3 linked regions of the Macaca mulatta genome follow. The protein of the gene in region 2 interacts with the protein of the main gene of each other region in a pairwise test. Links are inferred from orthologs where the notes say so. Each region holds a gene or a part of one and is shown on either strand. Other genes may lie near its edges.

The links.
Region 1: the proteins of ZNF410 (region 2) and TSGA10 interact in binary tests that used the Homo sapiens proteins (3 or more experiments, as listed by UniProt). The two-hybrid records come from large-scale screens. The link is inferred for Macaca mulatta from reciprocal best matches to the Homo sapiens genes ZNF410 and TSGA10.
Region 3: the proteins of ZNF410 (region 2) and SERTAD1 interact in binary tests that used the Homo sapiens proteins (3 or more experiments, as listed by UniProt). The two-hybrid records come from large-scale screens. The link is inferred for Macaca mulatta from reciprocal best matches to the Homo sapiens genes ZNF410 and SERTAD1.

The regions. Positions count from the first base shown.
Region 1 is NC_133418.1:7,269,025-7,272,772, forward strand, and holds the start of TSGA10 (testis-specific gene 10 protein), read right to left. Parts: upstream 2,338-3,748; 5' UTR 2,300-2,337; coding exon 2,189-2,299; intron 1-2,188. UniProt on the Homo sapiens protein: Plays a role in spermatogenesis. When overexpressed, prevents nuclear localization of HIF1A.
Region 2 is NC_133412.1:147,098,552-147,102,199, reverse strand, and holds part of ZNF410 (zinc finger protein 410), read right to left. Parts: intron 1,030-3,648; exon of another isoform or gene 634-1,029; coding exon 508-633; intron 1-507. UniProt on the Homo sapiens protein: Transcription factor that binds to the sequence motif 5'-CATCCCATAATA-3', and is specifically required to silence expression of fetal hemoglobin in adult erythroid cells.
Region 3 is NC_133424.1:51,532,419-51,536,166, forward strand, and holds the start of SERTAD1 (SERTA domain-containing protein 1), read right to left. Parts: upstream 2,502-3,748; 5' UTR 2,388-2,501; intron 1-2,387. UniProt on the Homo sapiens protein: Acts at E2F-responsive promoters as coregulator to integrate signals provided by PHD- and/or bromodomain-containing transcription factors. Stimulates E2F1/TFDP1 transcriptional activity.

The sequences.
Region 1 (3,748 bases), on a different chromosome or scaffold from region 2:
GAAGTCCTACAGTACAGAAACAATGAAGATTCCTAAGGCATGAGTTAATGTTAATAGATGGAGAAAGACAGCTGAGGTAATAAGAGGAAACCCAGGTAAATACGTATTGCCCTGAGACAAGAAAGAGAAAAGCAAAGACAGGTGAAGATTTAGACACTTGTAATCCCAATAATCCCCACACTTTGGGAGGCCAAGGCCGGAGGATCACTTGAGCCCAGGAATTTGAGACCAACCTGGACAACATAGTGAGTCCCTGTCTCTACAAAAAAGAAAAAAGAAATTATCCAGGCATAGTGGCATCCACCTGTGGTCCCAGCTACTTGGGAGGCTGAGATAGGAGAATCACTTGAGTCCGGGAGGTCAAGGCTGCAGTGAGTCATGATCGCACCATTGCACTCCAGCCTGGGCGACAGAGTGAGATCATGTCTCAAAACAAAAAAAAAGGTAAGTGGCATGGAAATCTGAGGAAGTTTCTGTCTAGTTGAATTTTAATTTTTCAGTGAAACAGAAGATTATATAATAAAAAGTATCATCAGTGTTGAGCAAAATATGAAGCACATAATATGTATTCAACAAATTATTTAATTTTTTGATAGAATGGAAAATACTGGACTACTTCATATGGAATTCTGAAATCTGGTTCCACAAAAGTTTACTACAGTTGAGGTGGGTTTTTCTTTTTAAAAATATTGTCTCCAAAAGCATAAACTTACAGACATTGAAGTAAGAAGGAACAGCCTCACTAACAGAAGGATGTGGAAAACCATACAAGATTTATGAATAATTTTGAGAGAGGATTTTATATAATAAGTGGATAAATATTTGGGGAAACAATCACCAAACTAAATACTGAGAGCAACAATAAAGATTAATCTTAAAAAAATGTTGACTAAAGCAGCAAGATGTAAATGAATACTCAGTACAATCCATTTGTACGAAGTTCAAAAACAAGCCGAACTGTAATGTGCATGTTCACATACAGTGATGTGAAACATTAAGGAAAATCAAGGAAGTGGCTCTTAGAAGTCAGGAGAGTGGCCATCTGTGGGGACGGAAAGAAACATGTAATCTGAAAAGGAGATAAATAATAATACTTCTAACTGCCTGTGTGTGTGGAGGACTTCAAAACCAAATCGTCCTAAACAAACTAGTCTAAGCAACTGAAAAAGCAGACAGAAAAGATCTCCCAGAGAATCTCTACACCTGATTATATTCTGAGCTACAAGCAATGATTTTTCTTCAGAAGGTAAACAATACGTGAAATATTTTGGAAGCTGCCATTAAAAAAATAATGCCAAAGTTTAGGATTTAAAATTAATATTTCATTAATGTACCTTCCTAGTTATTTCCCACTAAGACTGAAGAGTTTGGCTCATTAATCAATTAAAATACAAACAAGAATCTTATTCTGGAAGCAAATTCGAATGTGACATCCTACTTCTATAACTAACCTGTTTTTTTCCTACTTACAAACCTATTGTTATTCTATTTATGTCCTTACACGTAAACAAAGTATACTTGAAATGCTGAACACCAGTACAGAGAATTTTAAACAAGGAAATCTCCTAGGATATAAGGTCCTGGAATGGAAGAAGGAAAACGTTGGGACACTGTAATCTATGCAAACCTTCCTGAAGTCGCGGGGGAAAAAAAAGTGAAAAAAAAAACATATTTCTGTGAGTTTTTAGGTATCAAGTCCATGATCACCTAGTTATCCAATTTAAGTCTCAAATAGTTTTTCAACAAAAGCCAGCTTTCCCTGCCTTTACCGTGTATAATTTTACTAAAATTATCAGATTTTCATGCAAATGCCTATGTAATCTCAGCCTTTCACCACCCCAAGTCTAGACAGAGGCTCAGAAATGAGCGATAGGGAGTCAGGTTGAACTCCCAAATCTGTGACTTCCAAATTCCTCGGCTCCACCAGAGCTTCCAGAGCGTTTCTAAACTGAACAGTCCCCCCAACAACCAAGCGGAGAGCTGCGGGAGGACGCGAAGCGGTGACCATAGGAACTGGGCTCAAACCTAACCTCCCAAGAAGCAGGGGCAACGCGTGCAGCTAAGCTTCCGGCCGGCAGCGGTGCCCGCCGCAGCCCCTCACAGCGGCTCCCGCGGCGAGCGCCCACCTCCGCCTGCCACGGCCCCGCACCCGCCACTCCCGCCCGCTTGCAGCCGCCTTCTCAGAGACCTTCTGGCCCAGCAGCAGCGCTCTCCCCACCCTGCGCATCTCCGCAGCTTCTACCTGGAGCTCCGGGTCCCTCCCCGGGCTCCTCGGCCCGCCGTCCTGCCCAGAGCTCATCCCCGCGTCTGCCAGGTCTCGGCCTCCGCGGGGAATACGAGAACCGCCCAGTCTCCATCCTCCGCCCCTTTCTCCTCCCTTCCCACCCCCAAATCGTCCCGGCCCCGCCCCAGCGAATCGGAGGAAGGAGGGAGCCCGCGGGAAGGAGGCGGGGGCGGTTAGCGCCAGCCGGCGCCGCCGTGGCCCCGCCCTCACGCTCTGTACCGGAGTGGGGCTCGTCTTCCACCTCCCCGGCGCCCCAGCTTTGCTTCCGTCCCGCTCGCTCCCAGGCTCGGTGCGCACGCGTACCTGGCTCGACCTTCCCTCTCGCGGGGACTACAAGCCGTGCGCGCGCACTTACGCACGGAGCGACGCGTACGTCCACCTGCCTGCCTTACAGGGCACCTAGGAGGGACCTCTTCCTGGCCCATCCGCGCCGCGCAGGCGCACGCCCACGCAGCGCCTAGTCGCCCTACCCGAGCGTCCCGTCTCCTAGTAACCAGCCGCGAGCCCCCTTTTCCACCACTCATTTCTGAATCCCTGCCTGAGGCTGCGGCACCTGGATGGAACGCGCATGCGCAAGGCTGCCTCTCGCCGCCCCGTCTTCCCTCAGCTTGGAACACCTGCTGCTTCGCGGCGGTGGCTTTGTTCCACTTTTCCAGAGCTTGGACATCATTCTGGACCCATGTTCGGTGAACCGGTTACTCCTAGAGCTGCTTTTGGGCCTGTTTTGAGGGAGCCTTCCAGGTCCAGCCCTCCCACTGCAGCCTGCGGGGAGCGAGCCGGCCTGTCCCGGTGAGCGTGGGCAGCCTGGAGTCGGGAGCCTGGGGACCACGGCTTGGTCAGCTCTGCACGATCAGAGCTGAATCGGGAAGTGGCAGAACTAGCAACGAAAGTCCAGATTCCTGGCCGATATTCCTTCTCCACATGCCAGTCCTTTTCCAAATCCCCTCACCTTAAAGTGGACAAATGAGCCTTTTGGTGAAAAAGAATGAGCGCTGCATTCTTCTACCAATTTTTTGGAGCCCAGAATTGGGGGGGGGGGGGAAGTCTTCTTAATTTTTCTTAATACCTACCATGTCCCTTTCCTGCAGATGACATAGACGGTAGGTTTTTACAGCAATTCTCTGATACCCTTGATATGGTAGAACGCTGTGTATATCAAGAGTAAGCTCTCGTTTGAGGAGACTAACAATTCCTGTTTTTGCCAGGTGAGTACTCATTTTTTTTCCCCCACAAGATGTCATTGGCAGGGATAAACAACTTTTATGTTAGAACAAATTTAGTCATAAAAGTACATTTAATATAAGTGTCATGTTTTTTCTATCTCTTTTCATCGTGTTATTACAGTCATATTTTGTCGCATTTGTTTTCAGATAATCATATACTTTGTAAGTATAATCAGATACCAAAAAAAAAATTAAGTGTCCCTGTTACTTTAAGAGGCTAGAGGACACAAGGAGCACATAT
Region 2 (3,648 bases):
TCCCAGCTACTCAGGAGGCTGAGGCAGGCGAACTGCTTGAACCCAGGAGGCAGAAGTTGCAGTGAGTCGAGATGGCGCCACTGCACTCCAGCGTGGGTGACAGAGCGAGACTCCATCTAAAAAAATAAAAAAGCTTAAACTCTTGCCATGCAGAAATCTTTTATCACTGTGTTACTCAAATGCTAGTTCATGGATCAGCACTAGTTACCATCAAAATCACTAGGGGAACTTTTAAAACTACAGATTCTGGGATCTTGCAAATTATCTCATTTATCAGATTGCTTTGTTTTATTGGTGGGGGGAAAAGCAACAAAAAGTATACAAATTTTAAAAGGTTGCAGATGATTCTACTGTACAGCTATGTTTGGAAACCATCAGCCCATCAAATGAGACCAGGTCTATCTACCTAAAACAGAATCAGAAAATTTCCAGATAACCAGGCAAGACAGTGATTTGGCTCTTTGAACCCTAGAAGGTATAGCCCTCCACTCTGCCCACCCTCCTCACCAGTTTGCTCCTGCTCTTGACTCCCAGCTGCTCCCAGCTGCAAGTGATGCTTTCTCATATGCACATTCCTGCTTCCACTCTGAGAGAAGGTCTTCCCACAGACTTGGCACTGATGAGGCTTTTCTCCTGAAACAGGGACCAGGTTAAACAGGGAAGCCAACGGCCGGGCGCGGTGGCTCAAGCCTGTAATCCCAGCACTTTGGGAGGCCGAGACAGGTGGATCACGAGGTCAGGAGATCGAGACCATCCTGGCTAACACGGTGAAACCCCGTCTCTACTAAAAAATACAAAAAAAAAAAAAAAACCAAACTAGCCGGGCGACGTGGCGGGCGCCTGTAGTCCCAGCTACTCGGGAGGCTGAGGCAGGAGAATGGCATAAACCTGGGAGGCGGAGCTTGCAGTGAGCTGAGATCCGGCCACTGCACTCCAGCCTGGGCAACAGAGCGAGACTCCGTCTCAAAAAAAAAAAAAAAAAAAAAAAACAGGGAAGCCAAAAGGACAGGAAGAGAATGAACTCAAGACCTAGATGGAGAAACCCAAAGAATGTTAAACTCAACATAAGCAGCAGCTCCTTTTCCCATTCCCCACCTTCCCAGCCTCTCAAACTTCAGCATATGGGGGAAGGCAGGAAGAGTACACCAGGAGGGCTTTAGCACACTCCCTGCTCCCAGCCCCTGGTCCTTTCCAGACTCACTGTAATGCTGCCTTCACAAAACCTCTTTGGTATAGGACCATGGCAACCACAAAAAATAGGCCTTCTTTTTCAGATAGTCGTCCATGGACCTCTAGGATATGTGCTTTCCTCAAGGATTCCAATCCTGGGTTCCTAATATCCCCTTGACATATTCCCCGCCACCCTCTTTAGGGTCAACATTCACACTGGTGGCTCTTCTAACATAATAATCTAAATTGTCCTCTATGTCTTCAAGTCCCAGACTCTCTGTCTCCATTCTACCTACCCAGACAACCATACTTAGAGCAGAGGTCAAAAACTCCTGTCTATAGGGGACTGATAGGTAGCGAAAGTAAAATCGCCCAGTGGAGGCCACAGTAACCTAGAGAGTACCTAGAAAAGGGGCAGCTATTATTCAGCTCTAGCCAGCTGTTGCCATAGGTAGATTAAGGCCTAGCACAGCCAGGTTCTGATTTTTTTTTTAAATAAGGATTTTTAAGTAGAATCTCCCAATTTCTAAATGCTAGGAACAAATTCACAATTGATAAACACATGGTACAGCAATCTTCATTGCTGATTGTATTTTGCTGGGAATGCAAAATACAAAAACCTCTTTGGGGGAATCTGACCACATCTAGAAAAACTGTAGATGCACTTGCCCTTTGACCTTGGAATCCCACTTCTAGGAATATATCCCAAAATTATAGTGGCAAAATGTGAAATACTCTATGCACAAGGTTATTCATCACTGCAACATTATTTTAAATGGCTAAATACTGGAAACAACGTAAATATTCATCACAGAGACTGACTAAAAAGCTATAGATACTGCAATAGTCCTGCATAGCAAAAAAAAAAAAAAAAAAAAAAAAGCTATACAATAGAAACAGGGTAGAATATTACAAACCTTAAAACTAAAAACTGAGTCACCATTTGAACCAGCAATCCCATTACTATCTACCCAAAGGAAAATAAACTGCTCTACTAAAAAGACACCTGCCCTCACATGTTCACTGCAGCACTATTCACAACAGCAAAGACATGGAATCAACCCAGGTGCCCATCAGTGGTAGATCAGATAAGGAAAATGTGGCACATACACACCATGGAATACTGTGCAGCCATAAAAAAGAATAAAATCATGTCCTCTGCAGCAACATGGATGCAGCTGGAGGCCATTATCCTAAGCAAATTAACATAGAAACAGAAAATCAAACACCACATGTTCTCAGTTGTAAGTGGGAGCTAAACACTGGGTACTTATGGACACAAAGATGGGAACAATAAACACTGGGGATTCCAAAAGCAGCTATGGGGCAAGGGCTGAAAAACTACCTATTGGGTATTATGTTCACTGCTTGGTCAACAGGATCATTAGTAGCCCAAATGCAATATACCCTTGTAACAAACCTGCACATGTACCCCCTGAATCTAAAATAAATAAAATAAATAAATTTATTTTGGCCAGGCGCAGTGGTTCACACATGTAATCCCAGCACTTTGGGAGGCCGCGCAGGCAGATTACTTGAGGTCAGGAGGTCAAGACCAGCCCGGCCTACATGGTGAAACCGCATCTCTACAAAAATTAGCTAGGCGTGGTGGCGGACACATGTAATCCCAGCTGCTTCAGAGGTTGAGGCAGGAGAATTGCTGGAACCCAGGAGGTGGAAGTTGCAGTGAGCCAAGATCATGCCACGGCACTCCAGCCTGAGCCACGGAGCGAGACTCCATCAAAAAAAAAAAAAAAAAAAAAAAAGGCCAGGCGCAGTGGCTCACTCCTGTAATCCCAGCACTTTGGGAGGCCAAGGTCGGGGGATCACGACGTCAGGAGATCGAGACCATCCTGGCTGACACGGTGAAACCCCATCTCTACTAAAAATACAAAAAATTAGCTGGGCATGGTGGCCGGCGCCTGTAGTCCCCAGCTATTTGGGAGGCTGACGCAGGAGAATGGCGTGAACTTGGGAGGTGGAGCTTGCAGTGCGCCAAGATCGCACCACTGCACTCCAGCCTGGGAGACAGCAAGACTCCGTCTCAAAAAAAAAAAAAAAAAGAAAAAGTCATGAAATGTCCAGAACAGGCAAATCAATCCAGAGACAGAAAGCAGATTAATGGTTGCCAGGGGCTGGAGGAAGAGAGAAATGGGCAATGATACTTATAATGGGAATTCTTTTTCTTTTTTTAATCATCTCCTGGATATGGGGATCCTTTTTGGGATGATGAAATGTTATGGAGTTGGACAGTAGAGAAAACTATAAAACTATGAATATATGAATATATAGTTGGCTATACACATCCACTGATTGAACCAAGCAGATAAAAAAAATTCAGAAAAAATAAAAATAAAAAATAACAGGCCAGGTGTGGTGGCTCATGCCTGTAATCCTAGTACTTTGGGAGGCCAAGGCAGGTAGATCACTTGAGGTCAGGAGTTCAAGACCTGGCCAACATGGTGAAACCCTGTCTCT
Region 3 (3,748 bases), on a different chromosome or scaffold from region 2:
TAATTTTTATTTAATTGCATATGTATATTTATAAATTATTATTATTATTTTGAGATAGAGTCTCGCTCTGTTGCTCAGGCTGGAGTGCAATGCCGTGATCTCAGCTCATTGCAACCTCTGCCTCACGGGTTCAAGTGTTTCTCGTGCCTCAGCCTCCCCAAAAGCTAGGATTGCAGGCGCACGCCACCATATCTGGCTAATTTTTATATTTTTAGTAGGGGCGGGGTTTTACCATGTTGGCCAGCCTGGTCTCGACCTCCTGGACCTTAAGTAATCCGCCCACCTCTGGTTCCCAAAGTGCTGGGATTACAGGTGTGAGCCACCACACCCAGCCTATAGACTTTAAAAGAAATTTTTTTTTTTTTTTGAGACAGTCTCTCTCTCTGTTGCCCAGGCTGGAGTGCAGTGGCTCGATCTCGGCTCACTGCACGCTCCGCCTCCGGGGTTCACCCCATTCTCCTGCCTCAGCCTCCCACATAGCTGGGACTACAGGCGCCCGCCACCACGCCCGGCTAATTTTTGTATTTTTAGTAAAGATGGGGTTTCACCATGTTAGCCAGGATGGTCTCGATCTCCTGACCTCATGATCCACCCATCTCGGCCTCACAAAGTGCTGGGATTACAGGCATGAGCCACCGCGCCCGGCCTTAAATTTTAAATTTTGTATTTAAGTATATTTATAGACTTTTTAATCTGAAAAAAGAGATGGGGTCTCACTATATTGCCCAGGCTGGTCTCAAACCCCCTGGCCTGAAGTGATCCTCCCCCCTCAATCAATAAACACTCTTTTTTTCCCCCCTTTTATTTTTTGTAGAGACAAAGTCTTACTATGTTACCCAGGGTGGTCTCAAACTCTTTGCCTTAAGCCATCCTCCCGCCTCAGCCTCCCAAAGTACTGGGATTATAAGTGTGAGCTGCCATGCCCTGCCAATAAGTACACTTAATGATAACATTATTATTTCTTCAGTGAACCATGTGGAATGACCATTCAACTTTTTCCCCTACAAAAGCAGCTGTTTCATATATTATAATAACGTTATAAATAATTATATCTAAGTAAGTTATATTATAAATACTAAACTAGTTTCACATAGTTTAACACTTATTGTCTACTATGACGTTTCAAACAGTAAATAAATAAGCAAACACAGGAAATGTACGGAGAATTACAGGAAGACACTAAAAGGTCCTGGAGACCTTTTAGATGATCAGAGAAGGCTCCTGTAAGGAGGTGACATTTGAATGGAGCCCTCAGGCCAGAGAAGTCGGCCATGGGAGACCCTGGGAAAAGCATTCCGGGAGGAGGGAACAACAAAAAAAGGCAAAGAAAAGCCCAGAGGCTGGGGGAATGGGCACAAGCCAGGTCACAGAAAACCACATATGCATTAGTAGGGAGTTTGGATTTTATCCTGAGTGTGGTGGGCAGTCATTAAAGGAATTTGAGCACGGAGGGAATGGGGGTGTGAGCTGATTAGGTTTCCGGAAGATCCCCCCCATGGCTGCTTCGAGGAATACTGTAGGGGGCAAAAAGAGGGGGGATCTGAGACCCACTAGTAGGCTGTACTGGTTTGGGACTGACGATAGTGATGGCCTGGAGCAGGAGCTGGTAGTGGGTATGGAAGGAAGTCGGTCGAGTCAGGATTTCTTTGGGAGGCAGAATAGACAGGGCTTGTCGAGAAATCGTGATCGGCACCGGGGTCAGTCACTGAGATAAGTTTGAGGGTCCACTCTTTTCTTGGAGTGGCGGGGGTAGGGCTGGATGGAGTTTTGGACCCCTGGCGCTACCTACTTTTTTGGGCCAGGAAGACTTTAGAGTCCAGTTCCGGGACCCTGCCTAGCAAGATTTTAAGAGTGGCCCACCACACTACTCAAAACTGGGTCTTCGTCCCCTTCCCCGCAGTCCGTGGAGTCCGGAACCGCAGGAATTCCGCCCCCACCCCCGACTCCGCCCCCGAGTCCCGGCGCCCCCTGGCGGTGCCCAGGCCGGCTTTCCCCTGGGGATTCTGGCCCCTCTGACCCCAGAACCCCTTCTACTGCCCGGCTGTGATTCCTGCAGGCCTCCCGGCGCCGTGAGAGCCAGGACCCTAGGCGGGCTGTTCTCTGCGCCCGGCCTCCGCTCGCTTCCGGCAGTGGAGGCGGCTCCTCCCGAAGCGGCGGCGGCGGGGGCGGGTGAGTCACGCAGCCGGAGCCAAGGAGCCGGCGCCTCCGCCCCCTTCTCGGACTGCGGCGTGATTCACCCGGCCCGGCCGGGGCAGACAGCACGTAGAGGCCCGCGCGTCTCGATCCCGGGCAGCCCCGGCGGGCACCTGTCGGACCCAGGGATCGAACTCCGTGAAGGACCCGGCCGCTGGTACCCCTTTTCTTCCCAGGCCCCTTCATTTACATACCCTGCTCACTAGCGGCCAATCAGAACGAAGAGGTAGCCACCCACAACCAATCAGGAAACGGCAGCGGCAGCATCGCTTGCTCGCTCTCCTCCAGCAACCGGCGCCTGGGTCGCGAGACGCAGTTCTGACTTCGGCTCACGACTCCAGACTCCTAACTACCCTTAGCGACCGCCCACTCTCGTGGCTGCCCCGCCCTCCGCCCCAGGGATTGGCCCTCTACGGTGATGGGCGGAGCCTGTAAAGGGCGGATTCTGAAGGAGGGGCTTCTGGGCGCATGCCCGGGCAGCTGCGCGAGTGAGGGGTGGAAAGAGGTGGCTTTTTACTCTGGGGGACGGTGGCGAGTGGGAGCTTTTGCCTCTCAAAGTACGAGCCCCTCACAACTACCCATGCACCTGCCAAACCCGGCAATTAAGCTTCTTACACATCCACCCCCGACAGTGGTCTACACTACAGATATGCCCAGGTTCAAATTCCGACTCCTGATTCCCCACTCACTCGATGCGTGACCTTGGAAAAATGATCAACCTCTTCAAGCTACACAAAGTTAAATGGGGATCGTCTTGCATACCTCTTGACAAGAAAGTTTAAATAGGATCGTATCTATAAGAACACAATACCACACTCAAGCAATGCTGGACAGTTGGACTTAATTGTGGTTAAGGGCGGCAGTGAGGTGGGAGTGCGGAATCACATCCCGGGCTCCATTCCCTAAGCAGCTGTGTGACCTGGGGCAAGTGTTTTAATCCCTTCGGGTCTTTTTCTCCTTTAACATGAGAGAAAATAGCCCCTAGTTTAGAGGATTGTTTTAAGGATTAAATAAAACAATTCATGCAAAATCCTCAGAGTGGGGTGCAATGTGTTTTGTGGTTTTTTCATTTTATTTATTTATTTATTTATTTATTTATTTATTTATTTAAGACAGATTCTCACTCCGTCGCCCAGGCTGGAGTGCAGTGGCACGATCTCAGTTCACTGTAACCTCCGCCTCCCAGGTTCAAGCAATCATCCTGCCTCAGCCTCCTGAGTAGCTGGGAATACAGGGGTGTGCCACCATACCCGGCTAATTTTTGTATTTTTAGTAGAGGTGGGTTTTCACCTCGTTGGCCAGGCAGATCTCAAATTCCTCACCTAAGGTAATCCGCCCTCTCAGAGTACTGGGATTAGAGCCCTGAGATGCCGCGCCCAGCTGCCTTTTTTTTTTCTTTACTTTTTATTTTATTTTATTTTGTTTTTGAGACAGGGTCTCGCTCTGTCACCCAGGTTGGAGTGTAGGGGTGCCATCTCAACTCACTACAGCCTAGACCTCCAGGGTTCAAGCCATCCTCCTGCCTCAGACCCCCAAGCAGGTGGGACTACAGGCA